7 linked regions of the Coturnix japonica genome follow. The protein of the gene in region 6 interacts with the protein of the main gene of each other region in a pairwise test. Links are inferred from orthologs where the notes say so. Each region holds a gene or a part of one and is shown on either strand. Other genes may lie near its edges.

What was found.
Region 1: the proteins of UBE2I (region 6) and TFAP2A interact in binary tests that used the Homo sapiens proteins (3 or more experiments, as listed by UniProt). The link is inferred for Coturnix japonica from reciprocal best matches to the Homo sapiens genes UBE2I and TFAP2A.
Region 2: the proteins of UBE2I (region 6) and SIAH2 interact in a two-hybrid assay, tested with the Homo sapiens proteins (3 studies listed by BioGRID and IntAct). The link is inferred for Coturnix japonica from reciprocal best matches to the Homo sapiens genes UBE2I and SIAH2.
Region 3: the proteins of UBE2I (region 6) and SMAD4 interact in binary tests that used the Homo sapiens proteins (3 or more experiments, as listed by UniProt). The link is inferred for Coturnix japonica from reciprocal best matches to the Homo sapiens genes UBE2I and SMAD4.
Region 4: the proteins of UBE2I (region 6) and HIPK2 interact in a two-hybrid assay, tested with the Homo sapiens proteins (5 studies listed by BioGRID and IntAct). The link is inferred for Coturnix japonica from reciprocal best matches to the Homo sapiens genes UBE2I and HIPK2.
Region 5: the proteins of UBE2I (region 6) and RNF111 interact in binary tests that used the Homo sapiens proteins (3 or more experiments, as listed by UniProt). The link is inferred for Coturnix japonica from reciprocal best matches to the Homo sapiens genes UBE2I and RNF111.
Region 7: the proteins of UBE2I (region 6) and TRIM23 interact in a two-hybrid assay, tested with the Homo sapiens proteins (3 studies listed by BioGRID and IntAct). The link is inferred for Coturnix japonica from reciprocal best matches to the Homo sapiens genes UBE2I and TRIM23.

What each region holds. Positions count from the first base shown.
Region 1 is NC_029517.1:65,928,489-65,932,627, forward strand, and holds the start of TFAP2A (transcription factor AP-2-alpha), read right to left. Parts: upstream 2,801-4,139; 5' UTR 2,600-2,800; coding exon 2,372-2,599; intron 1,705-2,371; exon of another isoform or gene 1,390-1,704; coding exon of another isoform or gene 1,363-1,389; intron 296-1,362; coding exon 1-295.
Region 2 is NC_029524.1:20,989,182-20,993,160, reverse strand, and holds the start of SIAH2 (E3 ubiquitin-protein ligase SIAH2), read right to left. Parts: upstream 2,801-3,979; 5' UTR 2,692-2,800; coding exon 2,290-2,691; intron 1-2,289. UniProt on the Homo sapiens protein: E3 ubiquitin-protein ligase that mediates ubiquitination and subsequent proteasomal degradation of target proteins.
Region 3 is NW_015439872.1:57,509-61,803, forward strand, and holds the start of SMAD4 (mothers against decapentaplegic homolog 4), read left to right. Parts: upstream 1-1,495; 5' UTR 1,496-1,533; coding exon 1,534-1,948; intron 1,949-4,295. UniProt on the Homo sapiens protein: In muscle physiology, plays a central role in the balance between atrophy and hypertrophy. When recruited by MSTN, promotes atrophy response via phosphorylated SMAD2/4.
Region 4 is NC_029516.1:56,122,499-56,125,998, forward strand, and holds part of HIPK2 (homeodomain-interacting protein kinase 2), read right to left. Parts: intron 2,869-3,500; coding exon 2,621-2,868; intron 1,621-2,620; coding exon 1,460-1,620; intron 1-1,459.
Region 5 is NC_029525.1:5,872,561-5,876,858, forward strand, and holds the start of RNF111 (E3 ubiquitin-protein ligase Arkadia), read right to left. Parts: upstream 2,801-4,298; 5' UTR 2,689-2,800; coding exon 2,684-2,688; intron 1-2,683. Other genes in the region: SLTM (SAFB-like transcription modulator), read left to right, coding at 3,024-3,227, 3,820-3,907. UniProt on the Homo sapiens protein: E3 ubiquitin-protein ligase. Required for mesoderm patterning during embryonic development. Acts as an enhancer of the transcriptional responses of the SMAD2/SMAD3 effectors, which are activated downstream of BMP.
Region 6 is NC_029529.1:7,283,072-7,286,289, forward strand, and holds part of UBE2I (SUMO-conjugating enzyme UBC9), read left to right. Parts: intron 1-1,076; 5' UTR 1,077-1,089; coding exon 1,090-1,155; intron 1,156-1,381; coding exon 1,382-1,465; intron 1,466-2,097; coding exon 2,098-2,170; intron 2,171-3,218. UniProt on the Homo sapiens protein: Accepts the ubiquitin-like proteins SUMO1, SUMO2, SUMO3, SUMO4 and SUMO1P1/SUMO5 from the UBLE1A-UBLE1B E1 complex and catalyzes their covalent attachment to other proteins with the help of an E3 ligase such as RANBP2, CBX4 and ZNF451.
Region 7 is NC_029547.1:14,354,370-14,358,478, reverse strand, and holds the start of TRIM23 (E3 ubiquitin-protein ligase TRIM23), read right to left. Parts: upstream 2,801-4,109; 5' UTR 2,763-2,800; coding exon 2,664-2,762; intron 2,307-2,663; coding exon 2,144-2,306; intron 1-2,143. Other genes in the region: TRAPPC13 (trafficking protein particle complex subunit 13), read left to right, coding at 3,142-3,187.

The sequences.
Region 1 (4,139 bases), on a different chromosome or scaffold from region 6:
GCCCCCGGTGCGCGTGCAGCAAGCCCGGCTCCTGGCTCTGCCTTTGGCCCGGCCACGCCGGGTGCTGGGGCTGCGGTTGGGTGTGCAGGGAGTTGAGGCTGTAGGGGTCGTTGACGTGGGAGTAGGGGTCCTGAGACTGGGGGTAGATGGGCTGGTACGGAGGGGGGAAGTAGGGCGGCTGGAAGTCGGCGTTGGGGGTGTGCGAGAGCGGCGGGGCGCTGCTATACGGGGACTGCCCCACGGCCCCCAGCTGGGGCAGCCGCGCCGTCCCGTTGCTGGCACTGTCGTGGCGCTCCTGGGGGGGGGAAGGGGGGGCACGGGGAGGGGGTACGGGGGAGGAGGGGAGGGGAGAGAGGGGGAGAAAAGAAAAACAAAAGATGAAATCAAAACCGGTGCTCCTCAAAATCGCCCTCCAGTCATTTCACCCGCCGAGCAGCTCCTCGAGCAGAGGGAGAGAAGGGGGTCCGTCTGCCGCCCTCGGCAGCATTAACGGGGCTCGGACCATCGCCCCAACGGTGCCGGTGTAATAGCAGCGATAACCACAATAACGGGACCGTTCCGAACAATTCACAAATCGCTACGGCGGCGATCCGTGCGCTCCCGGCCGGCCGTGCCCCGGCAGCGGGCACTGAGACAACCCTTACACGGGGCCCTACGGAACCATAAGCCGAAACCGTAACCCAAAGCGCTGCACCGGCCCCGGCGCACCTCTACCGGGGGCCGCCGCCGTCACATCCCGGGGATAAAGCGGGAGAGCCGAGAGAACTGCCATCTTGCTGCGGGGGCACCGCTGCCCCTGCCAGCAACTTTGCACAACGATTCGGGGCGAAGGCGAGGGCCCAGAGTCTCCTCCGGGCCCCGTTCAAACGGGGGAGAGGAGGAGGAGGAAGGGATCGGAAGGAGAGAGACATAGCCCTCAGAAAGGCGGCGAGGGAAGGAGTAAAACCCCGCGGGCAGGTGCGGAGCGACGGGAACGGGGTGGCGGCTCCGGAGATCGGCAGAGCAAAAATAAAAGGAAAAATAAATTTAAAAAAAAAAAAAAAAAAAAAAAAAAAAGGAAAAAAAAAAAGGGGTGGTAATGGGGAAAAGAAAATAAAAGAGAAATGGAAAGGAAAATAAAAAGGAAAAAAAAAGAAAGGAAAAAAGAAACAAACCCCAACATAACCAAAGCAATCTCCCCCTCCCCCCCCCAACAAAAAAGCAAAGGAAAATAAAACCAAACGAGAGCGAAGAGGGCGAAGCCGAGGCGAAGCAGCAGAACGCAGGGCAGAGCCGCCTCGAGCCCGGCCGCCACCGCCGCCGCCAACAATAGCAGCGCCCCGCGCCCCGACCCCCGGCGGAGAGAAAGGCGAAGCCACTCACCATAGCCGAAAAACTGTGCACTAACATCTGCGAGGCGTCGGGGGATGCGCGGCGGGGAGAGAGGCGCGGGGCGGCCGCGGAGGGGCGCGGAGCTGCGCGGATGGACGCGGCCGGAGCCCGGCGCTACGCTCGGGGGGCAGCAGCGGGGAGCCGGGGCTGCTCCTGCTCCGCGCCCGCGCCGCCGGAATCCATCAGAACGCGCAGCGCCCGCCGCTGCCCTTCATCGGGTGCTGCAGAAGCTCTGCTTATCCTGGCGCGGGGCGAGAGGTAAAGTTGGTCGATTTTTTTTTGTTGTTTGTTTGCTTGTTTGTTTGCGGTTTTTTTTTCTCTTTTTTTTTCTTTTTTTTTCCCTTTTTTTTTTTTTTTTTTTTTTTTTTTTAGTATGTGGTGTTCGAGTTTCTCAATCCTTTTCTCGCTCTGTCTCTGTCTCGTTCTCCCTCTCCCCCGAGCTCCGGCCGCTCCGTTCGGGGCTCCTCACGCCCGCTCCTCCGCGCCTCCGGAGCCTCCTAAGCAGCGGATATTCATGACTATTAATATTACACGAATACTGTAAATAAGGGGAAGAATGCCGCAATCGAGCGGTGAAGCGCGAAGGCAACTCAAGGCAGAGCCCGTTCTAATGACGTCCATTGAATGAGGAATCGGTGTATCTAATCAGCGCCGGGAGAGAGGGAGGAGTGGGCGTAGAGAAGAGTGGAGAGAGAGACAAAAGGAAGGAGGGAGGGAGCGCGGCGCGCAGGTGGGGGACAATGCCGCCGCGTCTGGGAATCACAGGAAGGGGCCACATTTAAAAAAGGTTTGCGGGGGCATGCCAAAAGTGGAAAGAGAAAGAGAGCGGAGAGAGGCAGAGGGTGGAGCCGGAGGGTGGCGGCGGAGGTGGGAGAACCGTGCGGCGGGGGAGGGGGGGGGCGTAAAAAGGAGAAGGGGGGGGGGGGCGGGGATCCCCTTTCCTCTCTCCTTCCCTCCCTCCTCTTCCTCCCTCCCTCCTCGCCCCCAGCCCCGGGCGCACCTCGGGCTGCGGCTGCTGAGCGAAGCCGGGCTCGAAGGCGGCGGCGGAGGAGAAGAGCGGCCGCTCCCGGCTCCCGCCGCCCTCCGCCCCGCCGCCCTCGCGCGGGGGGGGCTCCGCCGCCGCCCCGTCCATGCCCCGCCGAGGGGTCCCCGCTCCGCTGTCGCCGCCGCGTCCTGGAAAGTTCTCCTCCTCCTCCTCTTCCTCCCGCACCTCGAGCCCCGCCAGCATCCGCCGCCCCCCAACTCGGAGGAGCCGGGAAAAGAGGAGGGAAGGAAGGGACGAAGGGAGGAAGGAGGGCGGGCGGGACGCGGGGGGAGAAGGAGAAAGCCGGGCACGGCGGGAGGGAGGCACGGCGAGCGCTCCTCCGTCCGGCCCAGACACGCCGGGCCCCGCGCAACCCGTCCGACTGGCTGCGCGACTTCGGCACCGCCCTCCGCGCCGCTCCTCTGCCCCTATCCCGGCCCCGGCTCCGCGCTGCGCCGGGCCTTGACGGCACGAAATCGGCGCCCGAGGGGGCCGGGGCCGAAGCCCCGACGGCAGCGACACGCGGGCGGCGCTGACCCACAACGGCGGCCTGGGGCGGAGAGGAGGTGAAGCTCTCGCCCTGCCTTGGGCCGAGGGATGGAATAATAATTATAATAGTCATAATAAAATAAAGAAATCTCCCCGACGCCCCGTTGCCGGACATCGCGTATCCGACAGCTCAGCCTCGCTCCGAGCAGCGGCTGCGTCCCAGCGCTCGGGGCAGGACTGAAGCACCGCATCCTTCGGTCCTCGCCGGTTCCTCGGCCCCTGCCCTACGCCGCGGCATCGCACGGCATCGACTCGGCCCCAAATTAGTACATTCGTTCGCACAGAGCGGTCCTTTTATTGATCCGTGTCGCAAGGAGAACTTTTGTGGAAGGTGTGAGCTTGGCTTTTGTTAGGGATTGGCATGGGATGCCCTCTTCGGTTTGTTCTTCTTCTCCTTTTCTTTTCTTTCTTTCTTTTTTAGTCACACCAAAAGACACTCGGAGCACGGACGCACACACACACGGTTCTGTCCTCAGACCCTAATTGTTGAGGTTGAATTTGCCGAGCGGTCCGTATACGACTGCTCAAAGGCCCTGAGAACGGGGAGGTCGCCCCCAGAGCCGCATTCGGGGCACGGCAGCACTGGGGTGGGGTGGGGGATTTCAGCGGCGGTCCTGAGCCTCTCTGCTCCCTTTGTCTCCTGGCCCTTCCATCCATCCATTTATCCGTCCGTCCATCCATCCATCCATCCATCCGTGCGGATGCGCTCAGCATCCCACAGAGCCGCACTCACAGCGCTCTCTCCCTACGGCTGGGACTGCTCCGGCTCTCGTTCCGCCGTCGTTCCCCGAGGGCTCCCATCTGCCCTGGCCCATTTCGGCCGAGCCGGTCGAGGGGGCACAACTCCTCCTCAACGAAATCCGCGGATCGGTGGATGCTGCGCGGCCCCACTCGCGGCTAAAGGCCCCGGGGCAGTGCCCGGCCCTGGCAGGCGCTTACCTCGCACTCCTCATACTTGATGTTATCCGTCAGCTTCCAGAGCATTTTCATGGGTCGGCGGGAGAGGGTCCGATCCCCCCGGCGCGGTGCTGCGGAGCGCGGCGGAGCTGTTGCAGAGCCGCTGTGCACTGAGCGCTCGGAGATCTCCCTCTAATGGCAGAAACTTTTCCCTTTTGCAGCGCTTTACCCGCAGCCGGAGCGTCTCATTAGCATAGCGACCGCGGCCCAATTGCTCGCCGGCTCCGACCCGCGCCCG
Region 2 (3,979 bases), on a different chromosome or scaffold from region 6:
GGTTAATCTGCTTTCAGCAAACAGGGATGCTTTTCCTTTTCAACACCGAGTCGCTGTCTGCACTGAACACGTTTCTTCCTCACTACCTCTAAGGAGAAACGCGTCTTTTGCTCTGAGCAGGAGCACAGCTCCCCCCATCTGCAGACAGCTGGAGAGACTTCTGCAACTCTGCTCATGCGGTCCCGCCATCACAGCCCACGTGTGGCTGCCTACAGGAGGTAGGACGCTTCTTTGGGTCAGGGACTGTGCTCTGAGACCAAAGGTGAGAGAATGTTTGAAGGAACAAGACAATCTCTGGGGAAACACAAGTCTGGACAGACTTTTTGTAAAATGTTCAACTAAGCAAAGTCCAAATTCATCAAAGTTTAACAGCGTATTTTGGGGTTAAATGCAAACACAATTAGTTTCAGCTCAAAGAGTGAAATGCCTGAGATGCAGACGCCACAGTCCTCCTTACTGCAGCCAAATCACCCACACTGCAGCACAGTGCTACAACTGCTGGGACAGAAACGAGACCTTGTGCTTCTACAGAGCTTGCTTTATAAGCCATAACGTGTGCTCTGCTGCTTAATCCTCTGTGACAGGATTTATCCACCTGTGACAGGAGCACAGAGGTGTGCTGCGGTGCAACCAGGGCTCCTCCTGCTGCAGGCAGAAACCCACCATGCAGAGCACGGCTCCCTGCCGCTGGGTTCTATGCTTCCACTCTCACTGTTCTGCTGTTTTCACTCTACATTCATACCCCTGTTGGCAATGTAATCGCTTTGCACTTTGCTGAAGAACCGCTCTCGGTCTGACCCTGTTAGAAAAGCAGTAAGAACATGTAAGCTGCTGGATGGGCAAAAGCAAACGTCTGCGTAGTGTCAGCCTGTATCAGAAAGTGACCAGTGGTGAACACACAAGGAAGAGAGCTGAGGAAATAGCTGTGGTTTTTCCTTTGCTGTGACCCACCTCCTTCTGTTGGCTCCTGAACACACAGCAGCAGTTTTGTTTGGTGAGCAGGAGGTTGTGAACAGATTCACGGAGCGCTCTGGGTTTGTAAGGGACTCTCACAGATCTTCTGGGAACACAGAGCACTTGTTGCCTTCATGCTGTTTGGCACATGTCACCGATATTTACCATATCCTCATTCAAACCAAAGAGCCTGTTGGTCTTTCCCTGCGTGCAGGTCATATGATACCGCCCATCTCATTGACGGCTCTACCTTTTCCACTTCTCCTGTGTCCTTCCTGAGGCAGGAGCGCAGGGTGCAGGCAGTGCTGGTGCACCACAAATGCCGGAGCTGATGTGACTGCTCCGTGCTCTCACATTGCCTTTCTCTCGCTCCCAGCATTCCACTTTTACGAGTACCTTTCGTCACAGCACTACTTGCACCACATTCACCTTCCTAAGAGGAAGCAGGCAGCCCTGCAGCCATCACCACATAATGACTTAGCATTCCGTGTTGTTGCTATGTACGTCACTTCACTCGCGTTACCCTGGACTTCCCCTTACAGGTAATGTGAGTGCCTGAAAGCATTCTGAAAACATTGGCTAAGCTTGAAGGTGCTCAGCAGAGCCAGGTCAGTGAATGAAGGCAGGGTGTATATGGGATTAAAGCACCTTGTCTGAAGCTGCAGGGGAAATCTGCAGCAGAGCCGGGAATGACACGCTGAGTCCATCCCTGCTCTTCCCTCCCAGCTGCACAGCGAAGCAGCGGCGGCCCGAGGCTGCAGTGCCTGTCCCTGCGCCCGGCCGAAGGGGGCAGCGCTCAGTGCGATGCTGCCGGAGCCCTTTCAATGGATACACAACCTCACTACGCCTAGTGGTTCTAAAAGCAAAACATTACGGTTGGATGTGGAGTGCAGAAAGGATTCCACATCTTGCCCTCGGACTAAACATAAAGAGTACAGCGAAATGAATCCTCACTGGATTCCCTTTTCTTCAGAGGGATCAGAACCACAAGAAGGCTCAGAAATGGGGCAGCAGCTCCAGGCAGAGGTGACAAGTTAAAGGATCTCAGCAGGACCCTCCCTAAGGGAGGTGTCCCTAACCCTGCCCCAGCTCTCGGGACGCAGAGCATCGCTGCTCCTATGGAAGCTGCGAAGAGCGAGGTTTCTTTTCCAAAAGATGAAGCCCTGCGTCCCGCCCTGTGTCCGCATTAAGTCAGCTCCGTACCTACGAGCGCATTTACCACTTGCGCTTATTTCAACGATGAGAGAAAACGAGTTGTTTTTGTCACGTCTGAAATAGGAGCAGGGCTGTGAGCAGAAAGGGGGTCCCGTCCAACCCGGCGCCCCGTCCGCTCACCTTGCAGGGGAAGAGCACGGCCGAGGCCACCTTCTCCATGGCCAGGTTCCTGATGCTGGGGGTCAGCGAGCCCCGGCAGGTGGGGCAGAGGCTCAGCTTCTGCCGGCATTGCTTGCAGACCAGGTGCCCGGCCTGGCACTGCAGGATGGGCGGCAGCACATAGTCGAAGCACACGGGGCACTCGAACAGCGACGTCAGCTCGTGGTGCTGCGGAGACACGGGCCCGCCCGGCCCGGAGAGGACGGCGGCGGCCGCGGGCACGGCGGAGGATCCGGCACCGGACGCGGCGATGGTGGCGGCGGCGGGAGCGGGCGCGGCGGCGGCCGGGGCGGGGGCGTGCGGCGGCGGCTGCTTCCCGCAGGGTTTGTTAGAGCCCGGCCCGGCGGACGAAGGGCGGCTCATGGCGCCGCGCTGCCGCCACCATCGGGCCGCGGCTCTCGGGACCCGACGCGCCCGCCCGGAACGCTCCGCTGACGCAAGAGGCGGCCGCGCGCAGCCTCCGGCCCGGCCCCGCCGCAGCGAGCATGCTCCGGGGGACGGGCGGGGCGGGGAGCGGAGCGGGGCGGCGGGGGGAGCGGGGGAGGAGGAGGAGGAGGAGGATGAGGATGAGGAGGAGGAGGAGGCAGGGGAGCGCCGCGCCCACGGCTGCGGTGCCAGGACGGAGCGGGCGAGACTCGGGAGCGGTCAGCGGCGGCCCGAGCACCGTGCCCCGCACCGCCCCGCCCCGCCCGGTACGCTGCGATGCCGGGAGAGAACGCGGCTCCGTCCGCCGGGCCCGTCCGGGGCTGCGGTAACCGAGGGCGCTGCGGTAACCGAGGGCGCTGCGGTAACCGAGGGCGCTGCGCTCCGCGTCCGGCCGCGCTGGGATGAAGGGGCGCCGGTGGCGCTGACGCCCCGCGGGGCTGAGGAAACCCACCGGGCGCCGTTATCCGCGTGGGCTCGGGCCCGATCCCTGCCCGTGCCGGCCCTCGTGAGGACCGCTGAGCCGCCGTGCTGAGCGCGAGCAGCGGCGGAGGAGCGCGGCTCCTCGCGGGGACGGGACGGGGCGTGAGAGCGGAGCGAGCGGGAGGACGGAACGATGAGAGATGGGTCTGATGGAGAATGGAACAGTGCTGCAGCGCTGCTTGGGGGCGGAGGTCGGGTAAAAGAAATGGGGCTGTTTTCATCCCCCCCGTAACAGAATGTTGAAAATAAAACACCGGTTTAAACGCGTTGTGTTTTGGTAACGGAGGAGAAGTGAGGACGGCCCGGGGGTGGGAATGTCCCCGCGTCCCTTTCATTTGCCGGCGGGGCTGAAGAAGGAAGCGGGCAGAGCCGGGGCTGAAGCTGCGCGCTTCCCTGCCCGCTGCCGTGGTTGCTGTCTGTCCCTGCGCCGGGCTGGATGCGGCTCTGGGCGCACAAAGCGCTGCGTGGTGCCGCTGAGCAGCGCAGCGGACGGGGCGGCCATGAACAGGGCTGTGGTTTGAATTCCCCGTCAGCTCATCGGGCACATGACATACAGCATTTTCCCGAGAGTTCTGCTGCTGACTTGACTCCTCTTGCCCTTAAATGAGCAACGCTTTCCTCCGAGGTGTGGCTGCACTTCCCAGAATGGTGCTGTTATCGCTGCTCGGGCGTGCACCATGTGTGACTCATTGGTGGCTGTGCGCCCTGCGAGGAGTTCCACTGAGACACTGCCCGTGCTCTCATT
Region 3 (4,295 bases), on a different chromosome or scaffold from region 6:
AGACCCGCGTGTCGCGCATGCGCACTAGTTCTTTCGCATTATTCCGTCATTTTAAGGCCTAGAAACACCGGACAAAGCCCGTCCGCCATCTTGGCCCTTCCCGGTTGATGACGTCACGTCTTACCGTGTGTCCACGACGCCTCAAGACCCGGATGTAGCTTAGGCCGCTCCCCGTTGTGCGCACGCAACATGGAGGCGGCTCTTAAGGCCGCGCCGCGAGTGCCCGGATGTTGCGCATGCGCACCTCCAAACCCGGAAGTGCCTTCCAGATACCCGTATGTAACTCAAACCCGGAAGTCCCTCCAAATCCCCGGATGTACTGCGGGTTCCCAACCCGGAAGTCCCCGGATGTAACTCAAACCCGGAAGTCCCTCCAAGTCCCCGGATGTCACTCAAACCCGGAGGTCCCTCCCAGATCCCCGGATGTACTGCGGGTTCCCAACCCGGAAGTCCCCGGATGTAACTCAAACCCGGAAGTCCCTCCAAGTCCCCGGATGTCCCTCAAACCCGGAAGTCCCTGCAAGTCCCCGGATGTACTGCGGGTTCCCAAACCCGGAAGTCCCCTCTAAATCCCCGTATGTAACTCATGCTCACTCCCAAACCCGGAAGTCCCCTCTAAGTACCCGTATGTAACTCAAACCCGGAAGTCCCTCCCAGATCCCCGGATGTACTGCGGGTTCCCAACCCGGAAGTCCCCGGATGTAACTCAAACCCGGAAGTCCCTCAAACCCAGAAGTCCCTTGTAAGTCCCCGGATGTAACTCAAACCCTGAAGTCCCTCCCAGATCCCCGGATGTACTGCGGGCTCCCAACCCGAAAGTCCCCTCTAAGTACCCGTATGTAACTCAAACCCGGAAGTCCCCTCTAAGTCCCCGGATGTACTGCGGGCGTCCAACCCGGAAGTCCCTTCTAAGTCCCCGGATGTAACTCAAACCCGGAAGCCCCTCCAAGTCCCCGGATGTAACTCAAACCCGGAAGTCCCTCAAACCCGGAAGTCCCTTGTAAGTCCCCGGATGTCCCTCAAACCCGGAAGTCCCTGCAAGTTCCCGGATGTACTGCGGCTTCCCAACCCGGAAGTCCCCTCTAAGTCCCCGGATGTAACTCAAACCCGGAAGTCCCTCCCAAATCCCCGGATGTACTGCGGGTTCCCAACCCGAAAGCCCCCTCTAAATACCCGTATGTAACTCAAACCCGGAAGTCCCTCTAAGTTCCCGGATGCAGAAGTCCCTCCCAAATGCCCGGATGTAACTCAAACCCGGAAGTCCCTCCCAGATCCCCGGATGTACTGCGGGTTCCCAAACCCGGAAGTCCCCGGATGTAACTCAAACCCGGAAGTCCCTCTAAGTACCCGTATGTCCCTCAAACCCGGAAGTCCCTCCAAATCCCCGGATGTAACTCAAACCCGGAAGTCCCTCCCAAATCCCCGGATGTACTGCGGCTTCCCAACCCGGAACCCCCCCTAAGTACCCGGATGTGCTGCGTCCCTCCATCTTAGCGGCCTCCATCGGGCTCTCCATCGTTCCCGGTGTCCGCCATGTCCATCTCCACCCCCCCCAGCAGCAACGACGCGTGTCTGAGCATCGTGCACAGCTTAATGTGCCACAGACAGGGAGGAGAGAGCGAGACCTTCGCCAAACGAGCCATCGAGAGCCTCGTTAAGAAGCTGAAGGAGAAGAAAGACGAGCTGGATTCTCTCATCGCCGCCATTACGACCAACGGGGCTCACCCGAGTAAATGCGTGACTATACAACGTACATTAGACGGGAGGCTGCAGGTGGCTGGGAGGAAAGGGTTCCCCCATGTGATCTATGCGAGGTTATGGAGGTGGCCCGACCTGCATAAGAATGAGTTGAAGCACGTCAAGTATTGTCAGTACGCGTTTGATCTCAAGTGTGACAGTGTGTGTGTCAACCCGTATCATTACGAGAGGGTGGTGTCGCCTGGGATCGGTGAGTACAATGGGGTCCTATGGGGTCCTATGGGGTCCTATTGGGGTCCTATGGGGTCCTATGGGGTCTATGGGGTCCTATTGGGTCCTATGGGTTCCTATTGGGGTCTATGGGGTCGTATTGGGGTCCTATGGGGTCCTACAGGGTCCTATGATATAATGGGGGGAGATACGCAATTTGTGTAAGGGAGGCCATAGGAAATAATGGGGGAGATACGGAGTTTGCGTAGGGGAAGTTACGCAATTTGCGTAAGGGACTAGGGAGCCAATGGGAGGAGTTACGCAGTTTGCGTAAGGGCGGGGGGTTCGATAATGGGAGTTACGGAGGTTGCGTAAGGGAAGTTACGTAGTTTGCGTAAGGGACTATGGTGGTTAATGGGGGGGGAGTTACGCAAACTGCGTAAGGGGCTTCTATGGAGTCCTATTGAGTTCTATGGGGTCCTATTGAGTTCTATGGGGTCCTATTGAGTTCTATGGGGTCCTATTGGGTTCTATGGGGCTCTATGGGGTCCTATTAGGGCCTATGGGGTCCTATTGGGGTTCTATTGGGGTCTATGGGGTCCTATGGGGTCCTATGGGGTCCTATTAGATCCTATGGGGTCCTATAGGGTCCTATGGTGTCCTATTGGGGTCTTATGGAGTCTGTGGGGTCCTATGGGGTCCTATGGGGTTCTATGGGGTTCTATGGGGTCCTATTGAGTTCTATGGGGTCCTATTGGTTTCTATGGGGTCCTATTGATTCCTATGGGGTCCTATTGATTCCTATGGGGTCCTATTGGTTTCTATGGGGTCTTATTGGGGTGTATGGGGTCCTATTAGATCCTATAGGGTCCTATTGAGTTCTATGGGTTCCTATGGGGTCCTATTGGGGTCCTATTGAGTTCTATGGAGTCCTATTAGATCCTATGGGGTCCTATGGGGCTCTATGGGGTCCTATGGGGCTCTATGGGGTCCTATTGATTCCCATTGGGTTCCTATAGGGTCCTATTGGGGTCTATGGGGTTCCTATTGGGGTCCTATTAGATCCTATAGGGTCCTATTGAGTTCTATGGGGTCCTATAGGGTCCTATTGAGTCGTATTGGGATCCTATTAGATCCTATGGGGTCCTATTGATTCCTATGGGGTCCTATTGAGTTCTATGGAGTCCTATTGGTTTCTATGGGGTCCTATTGATTTCTATGGGGTCCTATGGAGTCCCATTGCATCCTATGGGGTCCTATGGGGTCTATGGGGTTGAAGCACGTCAAGTATTGTCAGTACGCGTTCGATCTCAAGTGTGACAGTGTGTGTGTCAACCCGTATCATTGGGGTCCCATTGGATCCTATGGGATTCTATGGGGTCCTATGGGGTCCTATGGGGTCCTATGGGGTCGTATTGGGGTCCTATGGGGTCCTATCGGGTCGTATTGGGGTCCTATAGGGTCCTATGGGGTCCTATTGAGTTCTATAGGGTCCTATGATTTAATGGGGGGAGATACGTAAATTGCGTAAGGGAGGCCATAGGAAAGAATGGGGGGAGTTACGCAATTTGCGTAAGTGAGGGCTCAGGTTACGCAATTTGCGTAAGGGAGTGCGGTAGTTATAATGGGGGGGAGATACGGAGCTTGCGTAAGTGGGAGTCGGGTTACGCAATTGACGTAAGGGAATAGGGGTTTATAATGGGGAGGAGTTACGCAATTTGCGTAAGGGACTACGGGGTTTATAATGGGTCCTATTGGGTTCTATGGGTTCCTATGGGGTCCAATGAGGTCTTATGGGGTCTATGGGGTCCTATTAGATCCTATGGGGTCCTATTAGATCCTATGGGGTCCTATGGGGTCTATGGGGTCCTATGGGGTCGTATTGGGATCCTATGGGGTCCTATTGGGTTCTATGGGGTCCTATTGAGTTCTATGGGGTCCTATTAGGGTGTTATTGGGATCCTATGGGGTCCTATGGGGTCCTATTGGTTCCTATGGGATCCTATTGAGTTCTATGGGGTCCTATGGGGTCTTATGGGGTCTATGGGGTCCTATAGGGTCCTATTGGGATCCTATGGGGTCCTATTGGGTCCTATTGAGTTCTATGGGGTCCCATTAGATCCTATGGGGTCCTATTGGGGTCCTATTAGATCCTATGGGGTCCTATTGAGTTCTATGGGGTCCTATTGAATCCTATGGGGTCCTATTGGATCCTATGGGATCCTATTAGATCCTATGGGGTCCTATTGATTCCTATGGGGTCCTATTGAGTTCTATGGAGTCCTATTGGTTTCTATGGGGTCCTATTGAGTTCTATGGGGTCCTATTGATTCCTATGGAGCCCCATTGGTTCCTATTGGGTCCTATAGAGTCCTATTGGATCCTAT
Region 4 (3,500 bases), on a different chromosome or scaffold from region 6:
ACCTCTAAACTGAGGGCACAATTCCCCGCTGTGAGTCATGACCTGCTGATACAGCTCCCATGGAGACCCAGCCTCGGATGCTTGGGTCCTAAGAACACTTCCTCAGCTCCAGTCACTCACACGACACATAGCTTTCGTTACTGAACTCTCTGATGACATAATACAGTGCACAGATATCTTAGGGGAATTAAATCACCTAGCTATGCCTGGAACAGGCCATTGATTTTTGGTCAGCTTGGATCTTTGAGGTTATCATTTCCAGGAGAAGTAAAATAACTACTTTATTTTTTAAAGATAAAACTCTCTGCTCGATCAGATCCTGCAGGTGCTTGGCACCCTCATCTAATCAGCTGTAATTAGTTTAGCATAGGCAACTTCTTGCAACGGGACAGAAACAATGTACTTTTTCACACATCTCTTCAGGTGCCATGGAATTCAATCAGTCATTTGTAATTATGGTGTAGTGAGAATATTAAATAACAAAAAAGTAGGAATTAGAAGGCAGGAAGAGCATCGCTCCATGTTATTTCCTCCTAGTTTTCCCACTCTTTTCATCCTTTTAAGAGCTCTCTGTGCTCTAACTGGCTTAAAATATGGCAGCCACACGTCTCCTTTACTCTTAGAAACAGCATCTCACCCACTGCCTCCATTTTTACTGGCTTTTATTTCAAGCTAGTTCAAATTTCAACTACATTTTGAGGGGAGGGGACATTTTTTCTCCCACAAATTATTTTGTTTTAAACCAGTTGTGCTATGGAAGCAAACAGGCACCATTCTTTGAGCTCTCCAGACATTCTCCTCTGGAAAGTGGATAACTGCTGTAACTTCCCTACTCATCACCTCACTTCAGGAAGAGGGAGGCCCCAGGTGCTGTCTGTGACAAGGGCCTTTTTAAAGGAAGCTCCTGGAGAGTCCCCTGGGCACTCTGATCACAGACCACGAAACATCTTGAGAACTGCCTGATACCAAGCAATGGGATTTTACCCAGGTCTTAGCATAGATTTATCATGGAATGGATCAAACTCGTTATGCAACGCGTGGTCATGTTTATGCTTAGAGGTTCAGTTTTGCCTTGTCACATCTGATGGAGACTTTCCTTGAAAGATACTCTCCCCGTACTTACCTACAGCTACAGAGACTTCAGACTTTCCTGCACAGTCCTGTTTCACCACCTTGTGTCTGTGCAACTGCACCCTCCTCTCTTACACCATCCCCACTCACACTCTTAGATCATTTGACTTCCAAACACATGTTAAGAATACTGCCAGCCCACTCACAGCTGGGATCTGCACTGCCTCTACTGCCAGAGCTAGAAGATCAAGCTCTGCAATGAAGCTGAAACAAGTCCATCAAACTCGAGGCCCAACTATCATTAGGTTAGAAAAGGACAGCCCACGCTGGAGCAGCAGTGGGTTGCAGCTGGGTGATACATCACCAAAATCTGTCTCAATTGACTTACCTGGCTTAGATTAAGAGGCTGCTGCTGCTGGAAATGTGCTCCTGGTCGCTGCTGCCTATAGGCAACGGCTCCAGACGAGCTCCCTGAAGAGTGACCGCTGGTGGAGGTCACGGTGCTGGAGGACTTGGACTTGTAGGAAGATGAGTGGTGACTGGTGGTGACTGTGCCAGGAAAGGAAACACATTTGTAGCTTACATCACATTCTTTAATTGCTCACCCTACCTTTTCCTCACTGAGTCTCCTCCAGAGTGGCTTTGAGGAGGAGACATAAAACAGAAGTAGGATAAGAAAATGGTTTCTCTTTAGAGATACCTCAGCAGTACTTCTTATACTCAAACCAGACTGTCATCCTAGAGGCAGACAAGCAGATCTGGACCCCAAACTAGCCCTGGAGAAGGCTTTAAAGATCCTTCAGAAGTGTGAGAAACTGTTCTGCCAGTAGAACTGTACGATGCAGGTACAAATCCCAAAGAGAGGAAGGAAAGTACACTGTGCACAGCACAAAAAAAGCCCTGGCTTGACTGACCTCATGGTGAGTAGGAAGGGAGGGAGAGTGAGCTAGTGGGGAGCTCACCCTCTGAGCCTTCGTGTTCACCAGCAGTGCACCAAAAGAAAAGACTGTCAAATAACACAAAGCCAATTGCTTTGGGCCAAACTTCCACATAAGCCCCTTTTCAACATATTATACTATCTAATACTGCAGAGGCTCTGGATGAGCAAACCTCATCAGTCCACAGTGAAGATGCTGGGGAATTGTTTTTCCCAGAAACGTCAATAAATTCAGATGAAAATGCACATGTGTTTTCAATCTTTTATGTGTTGTAAAGTAAACCTATGGAAAGGCAGGGAAGCAAAGGTTCACACTTGCATTTGGGAGCCTTTCCTTTCAAATGTTGAGCTAAAGACTGCATTCTGCTCTTGGGTTTGCACAGAAGTAACTAGGAGTAACACTTGCCCCCATGACTCCTGAATGTACCAAGGCACATAAGCAATGCAATACAGCTCCCAAGAACAGATGTGTCACTTGAGAGCAGGGCAGGAGCACGGTTTCTTTGGAAAACAAAACAAACAAACAAACAAAATGAAACCGAACAATGAGATTCTTCCAAGATAAATCATTTATTTCTTACTAATTCTCTTGACGGAAGAGGTGCAATTTACCTGGTGCCAGGCTATCACACTCTACCAACACCTCACTGGCCTGGGTTTTCAGTGGTGGCACGATGATCGTTCGGGGGTTCCCACTGCAGTGAGTCTCTGGAACCCCTTTGGTGTCGTATGTGTTCCCATTATTCTGTCCTGCGCGATGTTGCGTGGCATAAGGGCTGTTGTTGCTGGAGGAATCGGAGTAGGGGGAATCATGCACAGTGACACAGCTGATGACGTTCTTCCTTTGCTTGGACAAGGTGCTGAAACACAAGCACACAAATGGAAACAGTGAATGGGGAACTACCGACTTGGAAGCCATCAGAAGACTCTGCCCACGGCAGGCAAGCTCTGCAAAGGCAAAGCACTCCCTGCGGTCCTTCACCAGTTGGAGGCTGCTTATGCCGAATTCTGGGCTTCGAAACTCACTCATTACTATTCTAGGGAAGCCTTTGTGGAGGTCAAGGAGTGAGTAAGACATTGTGGATGGATCTTATATTCACACTGCTTAGAATAGCACTGAATCAGACTGCCAGATTTATTTTCGGCCTGCTTTTTATATACGTGTGCAGTAGAGACCCAGCAGTTATACTATGCTTTGTTGCAAGTCTCACCACCCACACAAAAATGTGGTGGTTTCTCCCAGCCTTCCAGCAATGATTTAATAATAGATGCTACGGATTTTCATGATTAAATCCCATGAATCTATAAAATACACTCTTTTCTATTTACTAATATACTGCAGCGGGCATATATTTTCAAGAAGAATTTGAAACTGAGGAATGAATGAAGAAAAAACGAGCAAAGTATGTGTTGCCATACAGAAGCTCTATCGTTTCTTCTCTTTTTCCAAATAAGCACTGGGTCTCCTGGCTCTCACATGGATTATCAAGGT
Region 5 (4,298 bases), on a different chromosome or scaffold from region 6:
TACATCACAGGAGCAAAGGTTGGGAGTTTTATCATTGTTGCCATTTAAAAACCAACATGTGCACCAAACATTTCTCCTCTTTGAACAGATACCACTGTCTCCTAACCAAACTTAACCATAAACTTCAGAGCCTAACTGTACATAGCAGCCTTCTCTTTGAACATCAGTACGTGTTTCAAGAGACTGTAAAAGGACAAAGAGTATTTTTCTTTACAACAAACAAATCATCCAACTCCAGGTTAGAAAGCAGCCAATATAGACTAAAATTCCTCAGCAAATCCAAACAGATCTGATCATGAGGCATACCTATAAACTAATGTGAAAGATGCCAACCAACATGATTTTTCATTGACAGATCAAACCAACTTTATTTTCAGTTTTGTTATATGAATAAACTGAAGATCCCAGCTTTATTGAGACTTCCGACATTCTGTTCCATCAACATTTTTATGAGGAAACTTCCTTTTAATAGGAACTTTAAGAGGAAACTTAAAGAGGAAACTGGATAGAAACCACATAACCCCAGTCCCAAACTGTTTGTACCCTGAGCAATGCCGCTAGTAGTTCAGCATCAAACCTGCAGTTTATGTCCTGTAAAGGCCCTCATACCTCTGCATAACAGCTTAGACTGCAAGTATAAACCTGCACCTAACACCATGGTTAGAGGTACTACACATGGAGCAAAAGTCAACGATGAAGGCAGAAATCACTCCGAAAATGTATACATGTAATGAACAGAAGTGCAAAGAAATCAGGTGCAGAGAATCAGTTACCATAGGAAACGTTCAGGAAAGAAACCAACATGTAGAGTGGATCACAAACTGCATACGATAACACCTTCGTGAAGCTGGAAAAGGCACACAGCTCCCAGATGCAGCATTGGAAGTGCTGGCACTAAGGCAACTTGATGGAAGTGCAGCACAAATGCTGGAGAGGTGCAACAGAAAAAGGTCATCTGTTCTGGAACTCGGATCAAGGAAAAGAAAATGATCTGGATTTATACCCCAAAAATAAAGGAGCAAACAAAATGTGCTAGTAGTCTTCACATAAAAATGCTGCAAAGGAAAAAGGAATTCTGTCCTTTAGAGTCAGAGTAAGAACTGCAGCAAAAGGGATTTAGGAGGCATCTGAAAAAGGATAGTTAAGGGCTAGACTAGACGAGGAATGAGTGGCATCCCTAGTTAAGGCTTTAGGAACAGGTCAGACGAACATCAGTCAAGGCTGTTTTCCTAATGGCGTACCACGCCTCGAGGCAGGATAATGGAGACTAGGTATTAGTTTTAAGGTCACTGTTGGCTTTTTAGATCAACAGCTTCCACATCTACGTGACATCAACCAACAAATGTAGTGGTTGAGGTGAGCAGATACTGCTCTGAAAGCAGGTGAGCACTGCAGGTGTTAACCCACTGGTCATTCCCAGGACTGAGAACAGAACAGTGCAGTCTGTCCCTCCTGATACAACGCTGCTGCAGGGAGCTGGCAGTCCTGCCTGATATTCTGGTAGATCGCTGAACTCAAAGTAGAACTGAAACAAAAGCTGGACTTAGCCACGTTCTGTTTGAAAGTTACACCAACACCCACAAAATCTGTTTCTGTGGTCTAAAGTAAATCTAAGGAGTCCATCAGTTAACCTCAGCCATTTCTGATAAATCAGATGTTAGCGCAAGTGTTGTCACAGGGAACAGCATGAGCAAGAACACACACAGCACTCCCACTTCAGACTGCTCTTTTCACTAAATCTTCACCATGCCGAAGAGACATTTAAAATCCTCCCACACTCATAGAATCGTAGAATGGCCTGGGTTGAAAAGGACCACAATGATCACCGAGTTTCAACCCCCTGCTGTGTGCAGGGTCACCAACCAGCAGCCCAGGCTGCCCAGAGCCACATCCAGCCCGGCCTTGAGTGCCTGCAGGAATGGGACACCCACAGCCCCCTTGGGCAACCTGTTCCAGTGTGTCATCAGTACAAATTCCGTTTCAGGCACACGCTTAACTTCTGAATGGATGGGTGTCAGCCTTTGTTAAACGCTAACGACTGAGGTAAAGGATTATGTATGGAGGCTCTGGAAACAGGAGAGGAAGCTGTTCCCAACCACTCCGTCGGATTCCGGGCTTAACTTACACCAAAAAAAAAAAAGCGTGTAAGAGATTTATTAAGTGAAACGCGCACATCCCTGCAGTTCGATCAGTGCACATCGCTGAACGAAGGCAGCACAGCGCATCGCTGCGACGGAGCGGTTTCAAGGTTAGAGGATTCAATTCACCCCGAGCGACGGCTCGCAACCGGAGCGCGCCTCGCACGGCTCCCACAGCCCCACAGGCCGGGACACGCGGAGCTCCGGCCCGGCCCAGCGACGGGCCCCGCCGGCAGCACACGGCGGTAACGGCTCCGCTTTTGTTCCGCTCGGGGCCGACGCGGCGCTACGAGCGGGCGGACGAGCTGCGGCCCCGGTACGGCGGCCCGTGACCGCGAGCTCGTACCGACAAACGCCCGCAGCCGCCGCACCGTCACCTCCTCCGGGCCGGGCCCGCACCCGCGCGAGGCCGAGGATCCGAAGCGCTCGGCGGGGCCCGGCGGGACGCACCGCCCGGCTCCCGGCTGCGGACGCCCTCCCCGCCGGCCCGGCCCCGCCCTGCGCCTCCCGCAAGGCCTGGCCCAGCCCGCGCCGCCCCGGGGCACCTCATGGCTCCCAGCGCCGCTCCCTGAAGAAGCGAGAGCCCGGCCGGAGCCCAGCGCCGTCCCGTCCCGTCCCGTCCCGTCCCGCTGGGCGGGGCCGCACCGCGGCACTCACTCACTCACTCCCCGCCGCACTCACTCCCTCCCTCACTCATTCACTCACCCCCGCCCGCCCGACCCGCCCGCCGCCAACCTCTCGCGGGGAGGTCCGGAGCGCAGGTGAGCCGCACTGCGCCTGCGCCGCTCCTCAGGTCGGCCGCGGCCTCCATCCGGGTACCGCGCGGCCCCGGCAGGGCGGGGGGGTTTCATTGTGCGCGCGGCTGCCGCGCTCAGTCGCTCTAAGATGGCCGCCGCCGCCGCCGCCGCCTCGTCTCCTGCCGCCGCGGGGGCTCCCGGGGCGCCCAACGCTTCGGCGGCCGCGGCGCCGCCTCCCACCGAGAGCAAGAAGATCAGCGACCTGCGGGTCATCGACCTCAAGTCGGAGCTGAAGCGGCGCAACCTGGACGTCACCGGCGTGAAGACCGTGCTCATCTCCCGGCTCAAGCAGGTGAGAGCTCCGCGCGGGCCCGGCTGAGCGGCGCGGCCCGGGATCGGGATCGGGGGCAGCGCCGTGAGGGGGGCGGGGCCCTGTCGGTGTCGGTCCCGGTGTCGGTCCCGGTGAGGGGGGCGGGCCCGCTCCTCGTGCCGCTGCTGCCGTAGGGCTGAGGGTCGCCCGGCCCGGCCCGGCCCTGCCCGTGCTGCGGCGGCACGCCCTGCCCGGCCGCGGGGAGTGGAGGCGTCAGGCGGGGCTCGGCCCGCGGCCTTGAGGCCCTGCCGGGACCCGGGGCGCTGCAGCTCGCTGCCTGCTGCCCGCTCTGCCCCTTGGTGTCATTGCGGCGTAGCGATCCCTGAGGGAAACGTACCGCTGCTCGCTAAGTTGTCCTTCGGAATGTCACGAGAACGGCTTCAACAAACCGCTGTCGCTATCGTCAGGCTTTCCTCCCTCTCCCCCAGCTTTCGGTGGGAGGTTTAACCTGAAGTGTTTCATAAGATATTGTGTAGTTGAAAATCTAATAACTTGGCTCGTCAACGTCCTGAAGTGACAACTTATTGCTTCCAATTGAACTCCACTAAAAACTGTCGTTCTGTGTCCCGTTCAGGCTATTGAAGAGGAGGGAGGTGATCCGGATAACATTGAAATAACTGTCTCGGCTGACACACCCACCAAGAAGCCAGCTAAAGGCAAAGGTGAACGAATACCTGTTGATACACATTATAGACTGAAACACGTTTTTGTTGCATGCATCACCTTAAGAAAGAAGTAATGAGCTGTGCCCCCGGTTGTGCCTGTCCTTTACTGTTTGTGAGTTCTGTTCATAAAGCACTAAGTCTTCCGTACTGGCTTCCAGTCATGCTGTTTCTCTCATCATCTCTATTCCCCCCATCACCACCTGTTGTACCGGCTTGCTTCCCTTTCCTGCAGCATGCTCTGTCTGTCTCCCTGTGTCACATATCTGCTTATCACTGAGGGTGTGGAATGCATTAGGCCTTGCAAAGTACCCATGTGCTGGGTATATATGGGATGTGTTGGTCAGGTGATGTGTCATAAGGTGGTGGCTGTACAGTCTTTGGGTCCTGG
Region 6 (3,218 bases):
AGAGTTTATGTATATGTATTAATCCTTAATGATTATGTAAATGTTTGCTGTAATAGAGTGATAATATTTCTTTCACTCATTCTGTAAGCTTATTTAGGAGCGAGATACTGCTCTGGTGGCTGTATGAAGTAGTTAGGATGACTGTTCTGAACTCACAGCTACCAAGTTTTAGTTCTTGTTTGAACGGGTAGAAGTGCAGTGGGGAGGAGGATTAAAGATCTTTGCTGGAGGTTTCTGACCACTAATGGAATGATATGGTTAATGAGATGGTGAGTTTAGTACAGTTTGAGCATGAAAAATAAGGTCTCACTTCAGCTGCTCTTGTGGTTGAGTGGAGGATCCTCCCCTGATTCTGGGAGGGAATTTGTGTCTAGAATTGTTCTCGTGTTGTCACATCTTGGTCGCTGTACTTGGCTGATACTTAAGACAGTGAAGATCCTGGAAGATTGCTCAGTTTATATGGGTATTAAAGATCTGTCTTGTAGGATGAGTGGGCTGCTCACTGACTTCCTCAGTTAATTTCTGTCTCTTCTTTTGGCATGACATCAGAATCACTCCAGTTTGCTAAATCCTGTGCCCTTGTTGCTTTTGTGTAGAACCCTGGATTTTAGCAGGGACTTGGTCTATTAGTGGTGTTTCTTATTCTCATGTTGGCCAGAAATGGGAGCAGTGCAGGCGTTTGCCTTCAGAGGAGAGCGGTACCTTTCATGATGTCACAGAGAACTGGATATGCCTTTGTCAGTCTCAAGCAGGAAATCTGAGCCTTTCCTCCTGTCAGTGATAGTGTTACTGCTATCAAGATACTTGGAAAATTATTTTGACAGTGTGGTTCAAATATGAAATACACAGTGGGTACATGTAAAACTGGGTTAAGTCCAGTACCTGGGATGTAGTTGATGTGGGGTAACTTTATGACATTATTAGTGTTAACATCTGCTGTGTGTGAAAACATGTCGTGGCTGTGGTAAAAATGGAAGGCCAAAAGACTTCTTGAGTGGTCGGAACTCTTATATGGAGAACATAATGTTGCTGACATAGTGATAAGGTTGTACTAAAAGTAACTATTTTTGTTTTAGAGGGACTCCGAATATGTCTGGCATAGCTCTAAGTAGACTTGCACAGGAGAGAAAAGCCTGGAGGAAAGATCATCCATTTGTAAGTATATATATGAGCACTGTTAACCTTCTGACTTGCGCAGTTACATTCATGTTCAAATTCTCTTTCCCTGATGTGTTACAATAATTGAATTAATTTTTAAATAAGAAACTGCATAAAACTGTGTTTTGCACAAAGAAATAACTGTGTGTACATCAGGCATGGCATGGAGTGTTCTCAGCATGTTTTCTGATGTACCTTTTGTTTTTGTTTTGCCTTAATTCAGGGATTTGTAGCAGTACCTACAAAAAACCCAGATGGCACAATGAACCTAATGAACTGGGAATGTGCTATTCCAGGAAAGAAGGGGGTAAGGCATTCTGTTGTCCTAACATTTTACTAATGTCACTTTCCAGCATAACTGTCATTGTGTGTTATGCTGAGAACTGTGAGACTATAAGTTCTGTGTAGTTCAATATAAATATTTGGGTTATGGCACTGGATATAGTTCACCGTGGGTCTGTTCAGCTTTTGGCACCGATCACCTTAAGAAATATAATCCTGCATGGGGCAAATTGAGATGCTATTCTGCATAATGTCAGGGATTATCGTGGTTTATCTTCTTACTGAACACTGGTTTAAACTATCAGGTTTTTATATTAGTTTGTATTTTTATATACTATGACTGTACTTGTATCTTGCATTATCAACATTTATATCAGATCTGTTGATGACTTAGTGACACCTGGAAGCTGTAGTAAAGTGGAGAAAAGAAAATACAATGAACTGATGTAAATAATAATAATAAATTAATAAAAAAGAAAGCTATCAGTGGGATCACTTACCTCATTGTAGGCAGCATACTGCAGTGTAGGACAACTCTTTAATAGTGGTGTAGGAAAAGTGCCTTGTGCTTTGTCTAGGAAACTGTTGTTTGGGTTTTTTTTCCATGTTTAACTTGCTCTTATTGTAATCAAAACACCACCTTAACTTCTTTTATAGACACCATGGGAAGGAGGTTTATTTAAACTACGGATGCTTTTCAAGGATGACTACCCTTCTTCACCCCCAAAATGTAAGAAAAATGACAGCAAAAAAGCCCACACCAAACATAGCAGAACAGTATTTAATAGTCCGTGAGGTTGTCCAGATAGTTTTCACTCCCTTGTGGAGTTCTTTTTCCTACAGAAAGCTGCTTTATTTCCCCACTCCACACTTGGTGTTTAGAATTTTGTGATGAACTGAGCAAGTGCTCAGTGCTAACAAAGCTAGAAGGGGAAGGGTGAACTGTGCTTTGGATTTCCTCAGAGCTTGTCAGAAGCATCACTTGAAGTGCTCACTACTTGAGCAGCACTCTAAACTAGAGGTAGTAACAGGTAGGCATGGTTAGTCTAAGACTTCAGTCAGTATTTGGGCTTTTTCATGCTGTAAAGTTAGTCTACTACACTGAGAATTCACAGTAAAAATATATTGTTCCATCAACTTCTACCTTTTCATCTGTTCACTGTAAATATGGAGGTGTTATTTATTGTACATGGTATTAGAAAAAAAATACTTGTTTTACTTGTTAGGGAATCTTCTAGAACTCAACCTTGTGTGCTTAAAGTAAGATGTGTGGCTGCTAAGACTCGTTGCTAATGCAGCTTCTGCTTTTCCACTGAACTTCACTGAGCAGCTGATAAGCAAAACACAATTGTAATGTAAAAATGGATAAGAAAATTGCAGTAACATTGACTTCTCATATACCATTAAACAAGTGTTCTTTATGTTATTTGAAATAATCACTGTAGGAATTAAGGCTTATAAAGATTAAAGAAATGCTAGAATGTAGTCTGCCGGTAGGGAAAGCTGCATAACTGACCTTTTCAATCAGTTCTGCAGGTTATAGGCTACATAAAGTGAAATTGAACAGTAATACCTGAGACTTGGTATTTTTTGTATGGAATTTTCAATATACTACAGTGAGAGGAAAATGAACAAGTGACAGGCAGTATCTTTCTTTATAGAGTAGTGTATATTGCTCTGAGTATGGGATTGGTTTAAAAAGTTATTTATTGTGTAGCTACTATGAACTTTTCCATCAATTTCCATTCCTAAACCAAAATATTACTGGTCACAGTGAT
Region 7 (4,109 bases), on a different chromosome or scaffold from region 6:
CGTCCAGTTTTGGGCACCTCACTGCAAGAAAGACATTGAGGCCCTGGAACATGTTCAGAGCTGGGCAACCAAGCTGGTGAGGGGTCCGGAGCACAATGGGGCCGTATGAGGAGAGGCTGAAGGAGCTGGGAATGTTCAGCCTGGAGGAGGCTCAGGGGAGACCTTATTGCTCTCTATAACTTCCTGAAGGGAGGTTGTAGTGAGCTGGGGGTCGGCCTCTCATGTCATTAGCGATAGGATTAGAGGGAATGATTTCAAGCTGCAGCAGGGGAGATTCAAGCTGGACTTAAGTATTGCTTCTCAGAAAGGGTGGTCAGACACTGGAATGGGCTGCCCAGGGAGGTTGTGGAGTCACCGACCCTGGGACCCTGGGGGAGACCCTGGGAGACTGGATGTTGTGTTGAGGGACATGGTTTAGTGGGAGCTATTGGTAATGGGTGAACAATTGGACTGGATGACCTTTTAGGTCTTTTCCAACCTTGGTGATTCTATGATTCTACTATTCCCCGAGGACTTACAGAACAGATTAGATGAAATGTTGCCATGACCCTCTTCTGCTTCAAACCATCAGGCAAAACATTTTCATTCACAGAAGTGCTTTGACTCTCAGGTTGTTTTGCTAATTTTTTTTTTTTTTTTTTGAGCAACAGCTGATCACAACATATCATTCTTCTTTCCAGAACCATCCAATAAGCTGCAAGCCTACTATCCTAGAAATGAAAGCTTCAGCTTTTCTTCCCACTACCTTTCTATAGAAGCCTTGCAAATTTAACACTTCACATTGTTCCATCAGAAACCACTAGTTGTTACGTAAGACGAAGAAACTTAATTTTTGGTTAAAACTGAAACTAAAATAAAAAATTACTGTAGGATGCTTCCAATTGTCAGGCGGAAATCACACAGTAAGAGCCACAAAGTGACAACGCCCCCTTACAATAAAAAGCTCTGCTCCCCATTTACAAGATACAAGCAGCTGGCTCACGCTGAAGTTTCACAACAGCAAGACTAACACACGCTCCCTATTAAAGCATACATACATAAACCCCATATAGATGTACAGTCACATAAAAAAATAAACTTCTTTCAATCCTCTTTCAATCACATACCATCCACACCTCTCCTACCACAAACAAAACTTTTTCACATCATGCTGATGTTTCTTCTGAGTTTGTTTCCATTTAATATTTCTTTAACTCTAGCAGACTATCACTTCAAAGTAAATACGTATTCATGCTGATTTGATAATTGTACATTTATTTCATGCATTACTACATTTGATATCTCCTGCTCCATGGATTCTCCGCCATCCTAATATTTTTATCCACTGTGCTATTCAAAGCTACTGCAGACAGCTCTGTTCACAAGTTAACCTTGACACAAATTCTTCTAGTAACTTGTCCTTTCTTTAACTCTATGTTGAATGCACAATCACTAGCATATGCCTGAAATAAACTCTCACTATGGAATAAACACCATATCTGATCTTTTGAGACACATTTCTAAAGTAATAAAATCCCTGTAGACAGCCTGCCAATTTAAGTTCTATCACCCTTAGAATTACCATATACTTTACAAACAGGTTTGTTATCATTCCACTGTGAATCCAGGCAAATTTGTTTGACAGAGAAACAACTTACGTAACTGTATGGTCTACTTAATGTTTAGGACAACAGGAAACTGATATCCTCTCAAGAATCATTAAACAGGGATTTAAAACAGACCAGTCACTTTGTAAACACAGGCTCACAAACAAGGTGTTTGCAAGCCTATATTCAAGGAGAAGATAAAAACTTATTACCTAATCTTAATGAGATCTCTCTCACTCCTCTCAGTGGAAAAAAAAAAAAAAAAAAAAAAAGCATTTCAGAGTACAGGAGGAATGCTGCAAAACAAATACAACTAGTACATTCATCTTATTTGGTTTTGTGTACTATCCACACACATTATCTAGCCATGCATTTTACTGTACTAAACCCTTCTCATCCATTTGCAGCCAAATCAAAACTATCAACAGTAAAAATTCTGATACCACACACTGCCAGCCTACAAACTCAAATCAGCCTTTATACATTTCCTGTTAAGGCTTGCTGGTCTTTTAAACATTCTGTTCGGTCTTAACAAATTCAGGCCTAAGCTCTCTTACCCAATTCAGTAACTTGCCGATCAAAAGGACAGCGGACAGCCCTGCCGTGAAGGGGAAGCCGGGTCAGGCAGTCATGGCACACAGTATGGCCACACAGAAGCAGCCGAGGAACCTTATCGCCTTGCAAAGAGAACACATCTTCACAGACTCCGCACTCGAGAACCTACGATTTTAGAAAAGATACCATCTGTCTCCAGGCTGGGGGGGGGGGGAAACAAGACAACGAAACAAGACAAAAACACAACGGAAGCAGCACGGAGCAGCACGGAGCAGCCCTCCCGCGAGGAGCAGGGACACAGCCCCCACCCGGGGCCTCCCCGAGCGCCTCCCGCCCCGCAGCCGTTCACCGGAGCCCCGCGGTGCGATGGAGGAGCAGCGAGGCCCTACCGCAGCGGCACACACCGCCTGAGGAAACCCTGCAGAGCGCTCGGTACGCCTCCTCCCGGGCCCAGCAGGCACCTCCGCCACAGCACAGCACAGCAGAGCACCGGCTCGAGAGCAGCGAGCGGCCCCGCCTCACCTTCACGGCGGCGCCGGTCGGGCCCCAGCTGTTCCCAGCTCCGCGGCCGCCGTCCGGCCCGGCCGCAGCCGCAGCCTTGTTTACAGCCAGGGCCGCCATCTTGGACGGGGCGGAGCACAGCGGGCCGCGCAGACAGCACCCCTTCCTCAGTGTGCGCATGCGCTCTCCTGCGCCTCCTCCGAGAGCGGAACTGCAGTTCCCGTCGTGCTCCGCGAGGCCGCCGCCTGGGCACCCTCCAGAACTACAGCTCCCAGAATGCACCGCCACGGGGCTGCCCGCGGGACCCGCCTTCCTCGGGACGGGGGATGTGGGCTGAGCGGGCGCAAGGCCCTGTGGGGGTTGTAGTTTGTGGCGCCGTGGCGGTGTATGACGGGGCGTGTGTGGAGCAGCTGTTTCCGGGTTCAGCGGTGCTCGCTCTGCCCGCGCTGCGGTTACGCGCTTCTCGGCTGGTTGCGGCGCTCGGGCCTCAGGCTGCACCATGGACGTGAACCAGCCCAAGCAGGAGCATCTGCTGGCACTGAAAGGTACCGACCCTGAGCCTGGGAGCGGCCCGGGGCCGAGCTGCTGCCCCTGAGGCACAGGAGGCACAGGACGGCTCGGGAGCGACGGGTGGGAGGAGGAGGGCTGCGCCACGGGCCTGGCGAACCGGGATCTTCACAGGCTTCAGCACTTCTAACTTCTTTTTTTTTTTACTTTTTTCTTTTTTTTTTTTTATTTTATTTTTCTTTTTTCATGTTTTAACATTATAGTTTCCTGATTTTTCTTCCTTTTATGGCTTTTACCCTCAGTGAGCAGCCGCCGGCTTGTATTCTTGATTCAGATTCTTGATTGAGAGAAAAAAATTGGTAGATCTCATGAGGTCACAGAGCTAGAGCTGATAGCAACAAAAATAATGGTCAGATTTCTATAAAGAAGCTGGTTGTGCCAACAGGCACTTTGGTGCCATCGAGTTAGGAACTGAAGCACTGAAAACCCTGAATGTAGCTGCCCCTGATTGCAGTCAGTGGAAGTAAATCTACCTTCCTCTTGAACAGTGCTTGTTGGAAATAAGCATCGCTATTAAGGTGGAGTAGGGAACAGCTGAAGCCTCATCTGCGTGTGTATTTTAAGTGAGATGGCTCAGCTACATAAAGCAGTGGAGGTGCATAGATGATGTTAGACTCCATATTCTGTTTGTTTATTTTCTTCACAGTGTTTTTTGGGAGGGTTTTCAGCATCTTATAGTCAGATCTATTAACCGTAATTCACATATCAGCAACCACTTTTTCATGCATGTGCACAGACAGTGTCTAAGCCAAAACATGAGTGCAGGAAATACTGTCAGCTGCTACTACCAGCACATTTTGTTAGTAACTTATACAAAGGAACAAGTTGTATGGCATGACAGTTTGCTTGCAAGAAATCAGTAGGATCCTTGGGCTTGTATTGAATTTGATACACTGCCCA